2 linked regions of the Oryctolagus cuniculus genome follow. The protein of the gene in region 1 interacts with the protein of each later gene in a biochemical or structural test. Links are inferred from orthologs where the notes say so. Each region holds a gene or a part of one and is shown on either strand. Other genes may lie near its edges.

What was found.
Region 2: of the proteins of GSK3B (region 1) and NIN, one has a biochemical effect on the other in vitro, tested with the Homo sapiens proteins (2 studies listed by BioGRID and IntAct). The link is inferred for Oryctolagus cuniculus from reciprocal best matches to the Homo sapiens genes GSK3B and NIN.

The regions. Positions count from the first base shown.
Region 1 is NC_091435.1:76,545,974-76,554,153, forward strand, and holds the start of GSK3B (glycogen synthase kinase-3 beta), read right to left. Parts: upstream 4,848-8,180; 5' UTR 4,797-4,847; coding exon 4,709-4,796; intron 1-4,708. Other genes in the region: transcription factor SOX-4, read left to right, coding at 5,209-6,192. UniProt on the Homo sapiens protein: Constitutively active protein kinase that acts as a negative regulator in the hormonal control of glucose homeostasis, Wnt signaling and regulation of transcription factors and microtubules, by phosphorylating and inactivating glycogen synthase (GYS1 or GYS2), EIF2B, CTNNB1/beta-catenin, APC, AXIN1, DPYSL2/CRMP2, JUN, NFATC1/NFATC, MAPT/TAU and MACF1.
Region 2 is NC_091443.1:25,410,041-25,418,120, forward strand, and holds part of NIN (ninein), read left to right. Parts: intron 1-3,928; coding exon 3,929-4,075; intron 4,076-4,494; coding exon 4,495-4,662; intron 4,663-5,517; coding exon 5,518-5,654; intron 5,655-5,989; coding exon 5,990-6,130; intron 6,131-6,406; coding exon 6,407-6,581; intron 6,582-8,080. UniProt on the Homo sapiens protein: Centrosomal protein required in the positioning and anchorage of the microtubule minus-end in epithelial cells. May also act as a centrosome maturation factor.

The DNA.
Region 1 (8,180 bases):
TGTCATTTTCTAAACGTGATGCCCAGTCAGCAATTGAACTGTCAATCACTGGGTGCCACTGAAGTTTTTCCTAATGCCTATGTCATATTGTCATTCTACAGGTGCATAAAACAAGACAGCATGTAATTCTTACATTACCATCTTAACTGTTATAACAATTCTGAGCTAAGTCTGATTGGGAGAAGAGTAAAAATGAGGTTCCTGTTTTCATTCTCAAACATGAGCTCTTTCCTACATTATTACAGGATAATCAAGAAATTGATTGAATTCCAATAATCTAATTTTTAGATGTCACAAAGATTAAGTTGCTACTTATTTACTCTTCAGTTTCAACTATCACACAACTTAATACTGCAAAACATACCATTATGAATTATTCTCTCTGGTAATAACATTTTTGATCCAAAAAAGCTTTACATGAGGGGCAGGCATTGTGGCATGACAAGTTATGTTGCTGCTTAGAATGCCAGCATCCCATGATGGTGTTACTTCACTTCCTATTCAGCTTCCTGCTAATGTGCCTGGGAAGGCAACAGATAATGGCCCAAGTATTTGGGTCTCTGCCATTCAAATGGGAGACCTGAATGGAACTCCTGGCTCCTGGCTTCAGTATGGCTCAGCTCTGGATGTTTCAGGCAAGTGAACCAGCAGATAGAAGGTGTGTGTGTACACATGTGTGTCTTTCTCTCTCTTCCTCTATCACTCTGCCTTTCAAATAAGTAAATCTTTTTTACAAAAAAGCTTTATATAAGGAAACAATTTAAGTGCTACTCACTGGCTTATTTTCCTCTTTTACAAATTTTCTATTTAAACATTGAACCTAGACAAATAGCTAAATTTTTTCAAAAGTTTGTCAAAAGGATTCATTACTAATATTTTAACTGAAACTGCCATAAGTTGGTAGCCCCTTACTTTCTGTTTTGAGTAAAAGATCACATGATTCTAAAGAAGGAATTATAATAATATTAACATTAGGTAATAACACATAAACCTGATGTGAACGAAAAAGAAACCGATTTTACCATAGCAAGTAAGGATTTCAACACTCATATACCAATTTAAACTTGGAATAAATACTTTAACTCAACAAAAATTACTTTTTTAGAAAATCAACTTTTAATTTCTGTAAGAATCTTCACATGCAAAATGAAGGCTCTTAGTATTATTACTATCATTTTTAATGTAAGGTTTACCGGAAAAAAACATTATTTATGAAAAAGTTTTAAGTATGCGACAGAAACTAAAAACTGATATTGAAAATACTTAAAATGTTTAAGTCACAATTTACTCCAAAAAGTATACTCATTGTTTTTAAGTAAGTTACCATGAAACTATTATAACTTAGTTTCAAATGTGAGGCTTTTGAATTTCAAATTATTTTTTAAGACTTTAATGAAAAGCCTGGAAATAAAAACCTTTAGTTTAATGCTAATATAAATCTAACATTTGTAGGTATAGAAAAATTAGAATTAGTGCAATTTTAGACTGGAAAGTTAAATATAATTGCCAATAACTGCTGTCTGATGAATTTCAAGGCAACTTATCCTATATGAAACTTTTTTTAAAAAGTTAACTCATCTACAGTTGCATCTCAGCACTTTCTCAATTTTCCCATTACAATTAACAATGTAACTCAGCGGTCAAGTCTTCCAGACCAATAACCTCAGAATTTATTTTTAACTCCTGACTTGTTCACAAATAGTCCCCTTCAGTCCAATCCAAAACCCTGCCAGTTCTTCTTCACACCATCTCTCAAATCTGTTCCTTTCATCCCATTTTCAGTTTATTTTATTCCCTCATGATTCACAACATACACTAGCATCTCCCTAAAGGGCTCTAATATAGTTCTACTCTAATTCAACTTAGCTGCCCAAATCATCTTCAAATACCTTGTTCAGGGGTGGGTGTTTGGTACAACTCACATCCCACATGGCAGGGCCAGTTCTAGTCCCAGCTCCTCTGCTTCCTGCTAATGCACATCCAAGGAGGCAGCAGATGAAAGCTTAAGGACTTGGGTTTCTACCACCCAAGTGGAAGACTCAGACTGAGTTCCAGCTCCTGCCTTAGGCCTGGTCCAGCCCTGGCTGTTGTGACCATTTGTGGAGTGAAGCAGCAGATGAGAAGATCTGTCTCTCTGCCTTTCCAATAAAATTAAAATAAATAAAGTTTATAAAAAAAAAAAACTGTTCAGAGCTCTCATGAATGTCAAACTTTTTCAGACCCCTTGCCCTCTGTCAGCTATCCTTCCAATATTTCTCAAATTTTACCTGTTATTTTCCTACTTAGGCTTTTATAATTCAGATTTACCAGCTTATTTATTGCCTCTCCTACAAAACTCACCATCTCTGTGCCTGGAGTCCTTTCACCTAGAATCTTTCATGCTTCTCCACCAATTCAAGACACAGCCTTCTTTAACACCTGTCTTAAAAGCACACCTTCTCTACAGGAAGCCTTCTCCCTCCAATGCATGTCTCACCCCTTTATTCTTTGTCCCTCTGAACAAAGGATTCAATTTGTATTTTGCCTTGCAGTCGTAATGCCATTGTTTTCATTGTTTTTCCCATAAATTGCCTCTACTACTAAGTGACCAGCTTTTTTTGAAGCCAAGGACTATAATTTCATATGTATCTCTTTTGAACATGGGTCCTGAAAACACCAGCACCTAACAAATGCCTAATGACTCCCCTTTCTTCTAAATATCCCTAAAGCTAGGCTTATCAAAAATGCATATTCAGCAATAAATTCCAACTTTTTAAATATTAAGTTGAAGGACATGATAACAGAAAATCAAACATTTTAACCTACATACTTTACAAAAATCACACCATTCTTGGTCAACATGTATGCCATCAAGAATTAAGGAGTCATCTTCAAAGAAAATCCTAGAAACAAAATATAAAATCCCAGAATTTAGCATTATACACTAGCATTATAGATCTCTGAAATACATCTAATAATTATATTCCTAAAACTGACTTTCAGTGTTTTTTAATTATTACCAAGATGTAAAACATACAATCACTGCAGTATCACAAGAGGCTCTTAATTAGCTATTGTAATATTTGCTTCATCATAGCTAAAAATTACCCCCAGAATAAAAAACTTCTTTCAAATGACCCCATGAAGGGCTTAGAAAGCATGACCCTTCTCTAAAAAGATGCATAATCAGCTTCCCTCTTTACATACTCTGCATTCTCTACTAGCTAGTCACTGAAAAAAAAATTAACTCAAAAATAATCTCCCATTCAGCTATTACCTTGGACTATCCTGTTTCAGGCAAGTTCCAAAAGCCAAAGTGATTGGAATCTTGAGTTCAATTAAAAGTAAACATTTTATATTGCTTAAGGATGTAATCAAGTCCACATAACAGAATCTACTGTTTAAGGCTCTTCAGTTCTCTTAGCTCCTCTAGGCAACAAAATAGTTTGCCCTCTTCATGCCCCTTTCTCAGAGAATAAGGAAACAATATAAACATTTTTTTTTGTCAAAATCTGGAAGTATATTTAAATAACCTGCCATTAATTGCCACACAAACCCCTTCACAAACAGAGCTCTGTGGGATCACTGGATACTTAGTATAACAAACACCTCAAGAAAACAGACTTTGTGAAAGTACAGTCTGGTAACAACCCTGAGACCACATCCCAGACAGCCCTACCATTTCCAGAAGGACAACCTTCTGCAAAAACTATGATGGAAAGGACTAAATCTATGTTCCTCTAACTAAATTCAATCTTATCTACAAGAAAACTGATGCAAGGATATTTTAAGTATTCCTAAAAAGGAATCCTCTGTACTCTAGAATATTTTAACAAGTAACAAATGCAACAGCACGTCAAAATTGAACTTAAATGACAATGAGTCAGTGACAATTAACATTTAACTTAGTATCTGGCATTATGACAACATACGCCTCAATCAAAACTTGGACCTCCTTCCAAGTTACCTTTTGATTAAACAAATTATATGGTGGCAGATTGGTAATGCCAAAACAGGAAGGTTAAGAGATAACAGATTAAACCACTTATCCAATTCAAGACAATGTATTTGGAGATGCTACTGCTGCTGGATATTTATCTGTTCCCATCAGCCCCTTGTAAAGGGAGGGAGCGATGATCACCTCCACACATGAATGCTGGTTACTGAGCAAGTTCATCCCCAGGTTAAGAACAAATACTTTGTATAGTTACACCAGCACGAAGAGAAACGTTAGGAGACTGGGACATTTCATGTCTCCATGAAGTACACAAAGCTGTGATAACCCGAGACTTGAGCTAACCAGAATTTCCTCCCTCGTTCCAAAAGACAAACACTCTGCAAATGCACATAATGGTTTATGAGTCGTTTAGTCCTCTTTATTCAAAAGGGTCGGCAAGCAAACGCTTCCATCACAATTTCCAAGTGGAAACACCCAAGCACTGGATAAAGGCGACCATCAGTAGCAAGGAAAGCACAAGAAACGTTTCAAATCGAATCATCGAAATAAAAATCGTACTCTCTGAACTCAAGGTTAATGAGACCGAGGGAGGGGGTTATGGGAGGAGAAAAGAGGGAGCTGCCTCATCCTCGACTGAAGACAGGTCTTGCTCTTTTCCATTAGCTCTGGTGAGTGTTCCATCAGGTCTAGTATGTTAAGGTTCTAGGACTTCGAGGTTGCTTATTTTAGGGGTGAGACGGAGAAGGGGTGTAAAATAAAATCAATACTCACTGCTAACTTTCATGCTGCCAAAAGCTGAAGGCTGCTGCACTGGCTTGCAGCTCTCCGCAAAGGAGGTGGTTCTGGGCCGCCCTGACATGATCACTCTCTTCCCGAATCACCTTTTCCTTCCTTCCTCCTTTTCTTCCTTTTGTTTTATATTGGGGTGTTAGGTTAATGATAAATGCAGCATTAAGTTCTCCCACAAGAAAGGAAAAAAAAAGACTTCGTCCTCTTGGCTTTTCACTTCTTTTGTATAGCTATATTAAAAAAAAAAAAAAAAAAAAAAAAAACACGAGCGATGTATTCTCCTTCAAGACGGATCCGTACGGATATTTAACATATAGATGATTTGGGGCTGGGGGAGGGGAAAAAAAAAACACAATTCTTTCCCCTCCCTTTCCTGGGAGGGGGGACTCCTTAAAAAAAATCACGTGAAATGGGGACAAATACTTGATTGAAAATAAGTACTTTGGATTTTATATTTTCCTCGGGGATTTTTTTCCGAGTCAATGAAGAAGGGAAGCGGCGGAAGGATCACGAGTCTCACGCTTGAAGAGAAGGGGGGATGGGAAGGAGGGAGGGAGAGGGAGGGGGCGGCTCGGAGATGCGACGGGAAACGCTGCGGCTCCGGCAGCGGCGGGATCCGGCGGGGGCCCGGCGTCCTGGAGGGCGGCGGCGTCGCGAGTCAGTCAGAGGCGGGCGGCGGCGGCGGCTCCTCTCCTCATTGCGCCAGGAGCAGCTGCAGGCGGCGGCTGGATCCAGCGGCCATGGCGGCGGCGGTGGCGGAGGCAGCTCCCTTCAGACCCCAGGCAGCGGCTCCTCGACTGCTCCCCATACGCCGGGGACATGGGAACCCGGCAACCGCTTCCGTCTCCCTCGGGGCCCCCTCCCCCGTCCAAAGCACCAGCGCGGCCGCCCTCACGCCCCGCGCCTCAGCTCCGTGTCCGCTGAGGAAGTGTCCGTGCTGTGCCCCCAGTCCGGAGCCCTGTCAGCGGCTGCGGGGCCGGCTCCTCCTCGCTTCCTTCCTTCCTTTGTCACTCGGCCCGGGCGGCGGCGGCGGCAGCGGCAGCGGCAGCACAAACCCGCATTCGCCCGGGTCGGGGGCTGCTCTGTGTGAGGAGCTCCGTCTGCGCAGCCGCCTAGCGCCTTCCCCCCTCCCCCTCCCTCTCCCCGCCTCCTACTCGTCCTCCGCCTCCTTCCTCCCCCACCCAGCCTTATACCGCCCCGCGCCCCGCCGCCCGCGTAACAGGCGTCTGGGAATCGCCGGCCGAGCCCAACGCCCGCCCTCTTCGGCGGCGGAGCCGAACCCCCAGCGAAGCCAATCACGGGCGTCGTTTCTTTACGGCTCCTCCCGGAAAAAGCCGATCGGCCTGAAGAGCCAATTAGAATGGGCCCCCGGGAAGCCTCGCCTAGAGAGCGGAAAATGCCGAAGGCATCCGAACGGAAAGAAGGTGGATTCGGCTTGTTCTGTGGCTGGCTGGAGGACAAATTAGACGAGGGCAACAGGGGCCAATCACAGTCGTCGCCCTCGCGAATAAGCATTAAAGAGTTAAGGACGGTGAAACCCAGAGTCGCTGGTGAAGCTGCAGGGCTGCGAGTTGGGGCTGCTTCGTAATTGGCTGGAAAACTCCGCTGGGAGTGAACCTCCCTCGATGATTGGCGAAGGGCAGGGGGCTTCCGAGGACATGTGGCCAGTCAGAAGACCTCCCCCCTCGCCAAGGTGGGGCGAGGAAAGCGGAGGGAGGATGTCTATAAGGTGCCGTCTCATTGGCCGGAAGCTTTGGAGCCGGGAGGGGTGGCGAAAGAGAAAGGGAGGGAGGCCGAAACCCTTAGCGGTGGCCAATGGGCCCTGACTGCCATCCAATCGCAAGACCTAGCTGCAGCGTGATTGGCGTTTGGCCTTCGGCGGCGGTCCCAGGAGCTGAGAGAAGCTTGACTGGGCTGCGGCGGACTTGTGTGTCGGGCTCGCTTGTGGCTGCTCCCGACCGGTGTGGAAACCGCAGTTAAGGAAGCACGAGCCCTCCCCTCAGCCGTCCGAAACTGCTGCGGTCGGCGGGGCCGGTTTCTGAGGCGCGCTCAAATGAGCAGAGGGTCCAGGGGCTCCCCCCGCCCACGAGAGGCTCTCCGCGGGGCGCGGCTGGCTCTGCCCTCAGCCCGAGATCGCGCCTGCCGAGTGTCAGCGGCGTCTTTCCTGAAAGGGCCTGACGGACGAAGGGGTCTCCCCAGCGGGGTGCGAGCCCTCAGATGCTAAAGTACGAACAAAGCTTCCAGAGAGGTAGCGCCTATGGGCGGCCGCGCCTCGCCCTGTCCGGGGCCATTGACAGAGTGGGGTTCACTGTGGTTGGTGCGCGCGCCCGGGCCGGGCCTTCTGGAAACGCCCCCCGAAAGATGAGCTCATGCTGGATGCGCGCGCTCCTTGGGCGCGACCGCCCGGCTCAGAACTGGCCCCGAAAGCAGGTGAGGGGAAATGCGGTCAAGCCGGATTTCCTGAAGCCTCCGAGGCAACGGGGAGTCGGAAGAGCCCATAGTAGCTTTGGGTCTTTGGGAGCCTCACTGAACTATAGAAGTGGTTTCGGAGAAGGCCTCACACATAAACCAGTGTCTATTGTTCTGCCAGAGAAGCAGTTCCTTTCGTCCAGTAAGGTGGGGCTGTGTTAGGACAGCAGAGAACGTAGAGGGGGCAGTTGCCATCCCGACTGTAATCCAGTGGCGCCTGTCATTTCCACCTGCAGAGTCATCCCTTTCTGTTAAGATGCTATCTCCAGAAAGCACCTGTGAAAGAACCCATACTTGATCAGATTACCTGGCTGCTGCTTTGCAGAACTAATGAAGGGCTTGAGAGGTAAGGAAGTAACCTTTGATGGGAGACAGGAAAGTCTAGATAGGGCTTGCAGGAAAACAAATGAGACTGGCCTGGTGCAAGACAGTGGGGGATGATAGGGAATATGACAAATTAGAGCTTACATGCTTAACTAAAGGGACTAGCTGCTGAGTGCGAGCGGGTTGTTGCCCTTGCAAAATGTTGGTTCTGTTCAGAGACACTCGGTTTTATTCCAAAAGAAACCTTGAAGTTGGATTTTTGTGCAGAGTCTCTGGATTTTTTAAGTATTGGCTACTAGCATTTTAAAACCCTGCAGGCCAAACTAAAAACATCTCAGGCTAGATGTGACCAATAGGCAATCAATTTGTAATCTCAAACCTAAGATTGCATTTTTATAGCAGTAGAGACTCTTGTTCTTTGCAATTAAAAGAGAACATGAGGTCATGGATGCTATGGGGGAGGGTAAAGAATGTTAAAAGCAAACTCAGTGCTTGGCAACTCTGTCATCTTAATCGTGCCTCTCCATGCTATTATGAAAGACCTTTGCCACTGTTTCCTGAATGTCCTGTGATGCAAAGCTTTAAATCCTGCCTCCTTCTGTACTTCCCATCCCTGTTCACAGTTACACCAGCAGGAAAATAAATAACAAATGTTTAATTA
Region 2 (8,080 bases), on another chromosome or scaffold:
GCCTCAAGGGTTTCTATGAAGGATGAAACCAGTGCTGGGTAGAGCAGTTAAGACACCATCTGGGACGCCCAGATTCCAAGCCAGAGTGCTGGGGTTCGAGTTCCCAGCTCTGCCCTGATCCCATCTTGCAGCTGAAACACATCCTGGGAGGGTGCAGGTGCACTGTGAAGGACAGCAGGTGATGACTCAAGTAGTTGGACCCCTGGTCCTGACATGGGGGACCCAGACTGAGTTCCTGGCTCCTGACTTTGGCCTAGCCCAGCCCTGGCTATTGCAGACATTTGGGAAGTGAACCAGAAGATGGGAGATTCTCCTCTCTCTCTCTCTCCTCTCTCTCTCCTCTCTCTCTCTCCTCTCTCTCTCCTCTCTCTCTCCTCTCTCTCTCCTCTCTCTCTCTCCTCTCTCCTCTCTCTCTCTCTCGTTCACTCTTTTACTTTATTTTTAAAGATTTGTTTATTTCCGGGGACGGGGGGAGCCATTGTAATCCATAAGCTGTACTTTGGAAATTTATATTCATTAAATAAAAGTTAAAAAATTTAAAAAATTTTAAAAAAGTCACAGTCAAAAAAAAAAAAAAAGATTTGTTTATTTCAAAGGCAGAGTTACAAAGAGAGAAGAAGAGACAGAAAGGGGTATTCCAGCCACTGGTTCACTCCTCAAATGTCTATAATTGCTGGGACTAGACCAGGCTGAAGCCAGGAGCCTGGAACTCCATCCGGGTCTTTCACATGGGTGGCCAGTACCCAAGCTCTCAGACCATCATTTGTTTCTTTCCAAGGAGCATCAGCAGGGATTGGACATGGAGCATCCAGGACTCAAACTGGTGCTCATATAGGATGCTGGCATCACAGGCTGTGACTTAGCCCACTGTGCCACAATGCCAGCCCCACTATGCCTTTCAAATGAATAAAATAAATAAGTTTTAAAAGAATAGTACCTGAGGCCAGCACCACGGCTCAATAGGCTAATCCTCCGCCTTGCGGCGGCGGCTCACCAGGTTCTAGTCCAGGTCGGGGCATCGGATTCTGTCCCAGTTGCCCCTCTTCCAGGCCAGCTCTCTGCTGTGGCCCAAGTGCTTGGGCCCTGCACCCCATGGGAGACCAGGAGAAGCACCTGGCTCCTGCCTTCGGATCAGCGCAGTGTGCCGGCCGCGGTACGCCGGCCACAGTGGCCATTGAAGGGTGAACCAACGGCAAAAGGAAGACCTTTCTCTCTGTCTCTCTCTCTCTCTGTGTCCACTCTGCCTGTAAAAAAAAAAAAAAAAAAGAATAGTACCTGGGGCCGGAGCTGTGGTACAGCGAGTTAAAGCCCTGGCCTGTAGTGCCAGCATCCCATATAGGCACAGGTTCTAGTCCCGGCTACTCCTCTTCCGATCCAGCTCTCTGCTATGGCCTGGGAAAACAGTGGAAGATGGCCCAAGTGCTTGGGAGACCCGGGTGGAGTTTCTGGCTTCTGGCTTCAGCCTGGCACAGCCCTGGGTATTGTGGTCTTTTGGGGACCAATAGATGGAAAATATTTTTCTCTGTCTCTCATTTATTCATTCTCTCTGCCTTTCAAATAAAATTAATCTTAAAAAAAAAAAAAAAAAAGGTAAAGCCGCTGCCTGCAGTGTCGGCATCCCATGTGAGTGCTGGTTCAAGTCCTGGCTGCTCCACTTCCGATCTAGCTCTCTGCTGATGTGCCTGGGAAGGCAGCAGAGGATGGGCTGAGTCCTTGGGCTCCTCTACCCACACAGGAGATGGAGGAAGCTCCTGGCTTCTGGCTTCAGATCAGCTCATCTCTGGCCATTGTGTCCATTTAGGGAGTGAACCAGTGGATAGAAGACATCTCTCTCCCTGCCTCTGCCTGTAACTCTGCCATTCAAATAAATAAATAAATATTTAAAAAGAAAGAAAGACACACAGACTCAGAGGCCCAGCCCAGACTGAGCAGAGCAGAGTCTGCATTCAAGAGATGCCAGGTGATTTCTGCTCCGTGCAGGGGAGGCCCGTTCACGGACAGACATGTTCACCCCTGAGATACGGAGGCTCCGCCTGCCAGGGTGCGGGTTTGCTGTCCCTTTCTGCTGGTAGCTTCAGCGACTCACTGTGCTCCGTCCCCCTTCCTATTCCTCTGTGGGGCTGGGGAACAGACTGTCTCAGGCCAGCCTCTGGGTGGGACTGTGTTCAGTCTCCCTGTGCCCTGTTCTGTAATGACAACTGCTAGATTGTGGGCAGAGGGTGCAGGACAGCTGTCTAAGCCCCCTTGGCTACAGCTCCTGGAGCCCACCAGTTGCACACAAAAGCCTCCTCATCCAGTCTGTTTCTCTTGAGCCAAAGCATTGGAACAAAACCCAGACACACCCTGTGGTGTCCTGAGGCCCTAGTTAGGGGCTTAAGACCCGAACTCTTCAGTCTTTGCCATCTGTCTGAAACCACGTCGCTCTGCTGTGTCAGCCCACAGGTTTCAAAACTGCATAGATGCCACTTATCACCTGGTGGCATCACAGTATAAAAGAAGAATAAGGGGCCGGCGCCACAGCTCAATAGGCTAATCCTCCGCCTGCAGCACCGGCACACCGGGTTCTAGTCCTGTTTCGGGGTGCCGAATTCTGTCCCGGTTGCCCCTCTTCTAGTCTAGCTCTCTGCTGTGGCCCGAGAGTGCAGTGGAGGATGGCCCAAGTCCTTGGGCCCTGCACCTGCATGGGAGACCAGGAGAAGCACCTGGCTCCTGGCTTCAGATCAGCGCGGTGTGCCAGCCCCAGTGGCCATTGTGGGGTGAACAACGGAAAAAGGAAGACCTTTCTATCTGTCTCTCTGTCCACTCTGCCTGTAAAAAAAAAAAAAAAAAAAAAAAAAAAAAAAAAAAAAACTGTGTGGATGCCATGTATCACCTAGGGGCACTGCAGTATAAAAGAATAATGAGGGGCTGGCGCTGTGGCATGGCAGGTAAAGCTGCTGCCTGCAGTGCCGGCATCCCATATGGGCTCCAGTTCAAGACCTGGCTGCTCCACTTCCAATCCAGCTCTCTGCTGTGGCCTGGGAAAGCAGTAGAAGATGGCCCAAGTCCTTGGGCCTCTGTACCCGAATGGGAGACCCAGAAACTCCTGGTCCTTGGCTTTGGATCAGCACAGTTCTGGCCATTGCAGCTAATTGGGGAGTGAACCAGTGGATGGAAGACCTTTCTCTCTCTCTCTCTGCCTCTCTCTGTGTAACTCTGACTTTCAAATAAATAAATAAATCTTTAAAAAAAATAATGAATGTTTCTATTGTTGACACTGGGAAGCTAAATCTTGATATTTTAAAGTTACTTTTTTTTTTTTTTTTTTTTTTTTTTTTTGACAGGCAGAGTGGACAGTGAGAGAGAGAGACAGAGAGAGAAAGGTCTTCCTTTGCCGCTGGTTCACCCTCCAATGGCCGCCGCTGCAGCCGGCGCACCGCGCTGATCCTGGCAGGAGCCAGGAGCCAGGTGCTTTTCCTGGTCTCCCATGGGGTGCAGGGCCCAAGCACCTGGGCCATCCTCCACTGCACTCCCTGGCCATAGCAGAGAGCTGGCCTGGAAGAGGGGCAACCGGGACAGAATCCGGCGCCCCAACCGGGACTAGAACCCGGTTTGCCGGCGCCGCAAGGTGGAGGATTAGCCTATTGAGCCACGGCGCCGGCTCAAAGTTACTTTTTTAATTTATAATAATAGGTAGCAAAATTTAAGACATCTGTTGAAGTGTAAGAGAAAGCAATGACTAAATTGCATAAGATAAGGAAGATGCTGCAAATGGACGTTCACGTCGTTGGTCTGAGGTGGCAAGAGACAGTAAACTCAGTCAAGTGAGAGTAAAGGGACGTAGTAGCCGAGCGTATGGACTTGTGGGCGCCACACCGGTGCTGACTTCTGTTGGCCAGGAGTGTGCTTTGTGTTATTCTGCGTAAAATGCGTGGTTGCTCTTTTCTAGACGCTCGAGGAAGCATTCCATAACCTTGACCCTGAAGGCACCATGAGTGTGGAAGACTTTTTCTACGGTTTGTTTAAACACGGGAAGTCCCTTACGCCCTCCGCATCGACTCCGTACAGACAGCTGAAAAGGCACCTCTCCATGCAGGTAAAAATGCCAGAAGGCGGCTGTGAAAGGCGAACCTGTTTGGATCATTGCCAGGGAGGTGACGTGCCGTGTGATGCGTAAAGAGTCAGACAGACTCAACTATCAGGAAGGGGAGTGTGGGCTGAGGAATGATCCTAAATGAGCCTAGGCCACTACACAGGCCTGTTGGTGTCAGCTCTGGGCCTGAAGAAGCCCTCAGTAGAAGCACATGTTGTCTAAGTCACAGCACCCCCTGAGGAGCTCCGTGAGCCTGCCTGGCCCGGAGCAGAGCGCACAGCGGCCGCGTGCCCTTGCTCACTAGCAGTGGCCGGCAGTCGTGCTCGTCCTGGTCAGCACTGGCCACGCCCGGGCTCGCCCGGCAGCTTGTCGAGATGCTCAGAGCCGGGCTCAGCTTGCTGCGGTCCCTTTTCCTCTTGTAGTCCTTTGATGAGAGCGGCCGGCGCACCACCACCCCCTCCAGCAAGACGGGCACCGTTGGCTTCCGGGTCTTCTCCAGCCTGGATGACGGCATGGGCCAGGCCTCTGTGGAGAGAATCCTGGACGCCTGGCAGGAGGAGGGCATCGAGAACAGCCAGGAGATCCTGAAGGTCTGGCCCCCAAACGGGAGGAGAGTGGCAGGCTGGGGGAGGGTTGAAAGTCTCCAGTTCTTTCCGGGACTCTGTGATCTGACTTGATTTTACTTCTTGATTCTTCTGTTCACAAGATCTCAGAGATCAGCAGGTAAGTGACTTTTCCTACCTTGAGTGAGTCATCTGTGGCTAATTACTTGCCCTATTTGTAACCCCAAAATTATTGATGTGAGAAATGTTCTTAACTATCTCTACTTGGAACAGACTAGAATTATACCATCGTTTTGAGTGACAGTACTGGACATTGTTTTATTACATGGAAATAACTGATAGCCATATTATATATACTCTGCTTAAAGAGAACTTCATTAAATTCTAGAGTGAAGATTGTTCTTTTTTTCTTTAAAGATTTATTTATTTACTTGAAAGTCAAAGTTACAGAGAGAGAGAGAGAGAGAGAGAGAGAGGTCTTCCATCTGCTGGTTCACTCCCTAGTTGGCCGCAACGGCCAGAGCTGTGCCAATCCAAAGCCAGGAGCCAAGAGCTTCTTCTGGGTCTCCCATGAGGGTGCTGGGGCCCAAGGACTTGGGCCATCTTCCACTGCTTTCCCAGGCTGTAGCAGAGAGCTGGATTGAAGTGGAGCAGCCAGGGCTTGAACCTGTGGCCATAAGGGATGCCGGCAATGCAGGCAGCAACTTTACCCACTATGCCATGGCATGGCCCCTAAAGATTATTCTTAAGCAGTCACTAAAGAAATGCACCCATCCCAATCTAGATTGTACTTAGTCCCCTGAGTTTGTATGACCTTCACGTTCTCTGCTTTCGGAGGATAGAACTTGTCATTTTTTCTTGAACTTCTGTTCTGATTTTTAGGCCTTGGATTTCAGCCTTGATGGAAACGTCAACCTGACAGAACTGACACTGGCTCTTGAAAATGAACTTTTGGTCACCAAGAACGGCGTCCACCAGGCGGCTCTGGCCAGCTTCAAGGCTGAGATCCGGCACTTGTTGTGAGTTGAGCAGGTTTGCCTGCCCCATCCCTTTGCCTGCTTGCCCATCGAGTCCATCAGATGCTCTCAGCAAAGTCCCCTGTTCTGTTCTTCCATTCTGGGTGCACCTGTGGCTAATCTTCTCTCACTGAACTAGGAACAGATCTTCCTACCACAGTAGGAAAGGGAGGCGGAGCTTAGACTGGCGCGCAGGCTGTGGAAGGCCCCTTTGTTGGGGAGAGTTTGGGTTGTCTTGGTTTTGGCCTCACACTGAAGCAAGCCAGAGGAGAGCTTTTTCAGATCCCTCTGCTGCCTAGAAACCGTTTCCCGTTAACTCCGTTTGTTTCTGATTCCAGAGAACGAGTGGATCAGGTGGTCCGAGAGAAAGAGAAGCTGCGATCAGACCTGGACAAGGCTGAGAAGCTCAAGTCCCTCATGGCCTCGGAGGTGGACGATCACCACGCGGCCATCGAGAGGCGGAATGAGTACAACCTCAGGTGCGACCCCTAGGGCGACTCCTCCTCCCCTTCCCACCGCCCTGGCTCGCGCGGGGGCGCCTGCAGCTACAGGGCCGCAAAGGCAGGGGGCGCTGTGCCTGCTTGGCCGCCGCTAGCTCTGGTGGTTTAGCTGTGGCCAAGCCTAAGAGAAAGCAGGACACCCTAGGTATTTGCAGGAGGGCGTCTGCCTCTCTGACTAAGCTTCCATCTTTGGCAGCTGCTTGGAGGGACCAGGGAGGGATTTGATGGTAGCTTCTCGACTTTCCCTCCTCGCAGGAAACTGGATGAAGAGTACAAGGAGCGCATAACCACTCTAAAGAATGAACTGCAAAGAGAGAGGGAGCAGATCCTGCAGCAGGTGGGCAAGCAGCGTGGAGAACTTGAGCAGGAAATCGAAAAGGCGAAAACAGAAGAGAACTACCTCCGGGACCGCCTCGCGCTCTCTTTGAAGGTAATGATCTTGTCGGTGCTGGGGTCTGCATCCCTGCTGGAGACGCCCCGTGGAACTGTCCCGCCTGCCAGGGGACAGGTGTGCGCAGGGATCAGTCCCAGCTTGCCTTGCTGTGTGTCTGCCCTGCTGGCCTCTGGATTGCAAGCACACCCAGGCTTCTGGTGTGCTGACAGCACTGACGAGTGGTGATCTTGTCCTTGTCACACCCTGCCGTTGCTTGGGGTCGTCAGGGCTGTGTGGTGCTTGTTGACACCCTCGTGCCCACAGCCTCTCTTCCAAGCCCATCCTTCTCCCTCAGATCCCTTCCTCATTCCCTGCTGGTCCTTACCCAGCGGGTGGCTCACCTCCTGCCACACGGAGGCTGTTTCTCTCTGCACCCTCCCTCTCCTCCTGGGCCTCCGTGGAGGAAGTGGTCCCTCTGTTTTCCAGATTCCCTCACCAGAAAAGCTGGTGCAGGGGCCTGGGGTCAGCTGGCCTGGTTGCAGTCTGGGTTCCCCCACGTGCTGGGAAGCCTGGACCAAGTCACCCACCCCTGTTTCCGAATGCACACGTGGGTGCCGTGGTAACGCTAACACCCACGTCCACCCTGGGCGTTGGTGTGGGGCTCATCTCATCCGGTGCATTGTGCAAAACCGTGAGTACAAATGAAACGTGTGCCACGGCTGCTCTTAGGAAAGCTTCCTGGAACATCACACATCAAAAATAGAGCTAATTATCACTCCCTCACCAGCCAACTGCCTCCTCTCCGAATTTTCTTGCTGAGCCCCGTGATCACCATGTGCTGAAATCCCAGGAGCTGGCGTTCTCAGTGTCCCTCACCTGTGGTCCGTTTGTCCATCTCAGAGTCGCGCTGATGCTCTCCAGTGCCTCTGCGGTGTGTCCCCTCCCTGCTGTCACAGCGACCTTCCTAGGGACCCATTTTGGTGAGGCTGGTGCACTTTATAAAAGTACGGCCACCCGTGAGCAGTCCAGGCCGCAGAAAGGGGGCTCATTGCCCCCACCTGTGCCTTTCTCGCCCAGCTCCTGCTGGCAGCTGCCAGCCCCATGCCCATGCCCCCACTGCACCTCCACCAGCTCTCTTACTTCCTCAGGGCCAAACCCTTTGACCCCTTCCCAGCTGTCCCCAGCCTGCAGGCCCAGTGACAGCTGCATCCGTGTCTCAGTCAATTCTTTGTCGCCAGGGGATGGTGCGTTTCCTGGCACAGCCTAGGCAGCTGTGTCCGCATCCACTTCTCTCCCTGTGCTCAGCACCGCTCTCTGATTTGTCCGAGCCCCAGCACCACGCCTGATACACAGCAATGGCATCTTAGTGCCCTAGCATCTGAGCTGAGATGTATTTTGAACAATTAAAGTTATAGAATTGGCATCTTAGGAGAAGTTGGCATTTGAAAAATAATGCTTCAAATACATTCTTCTGTGCTCCATATTGCTATGTGAGGGTGTGAACTAGAATATATTAAAGAATGTACTGGCTCTATATCCTTTTGGCAAGATAATCT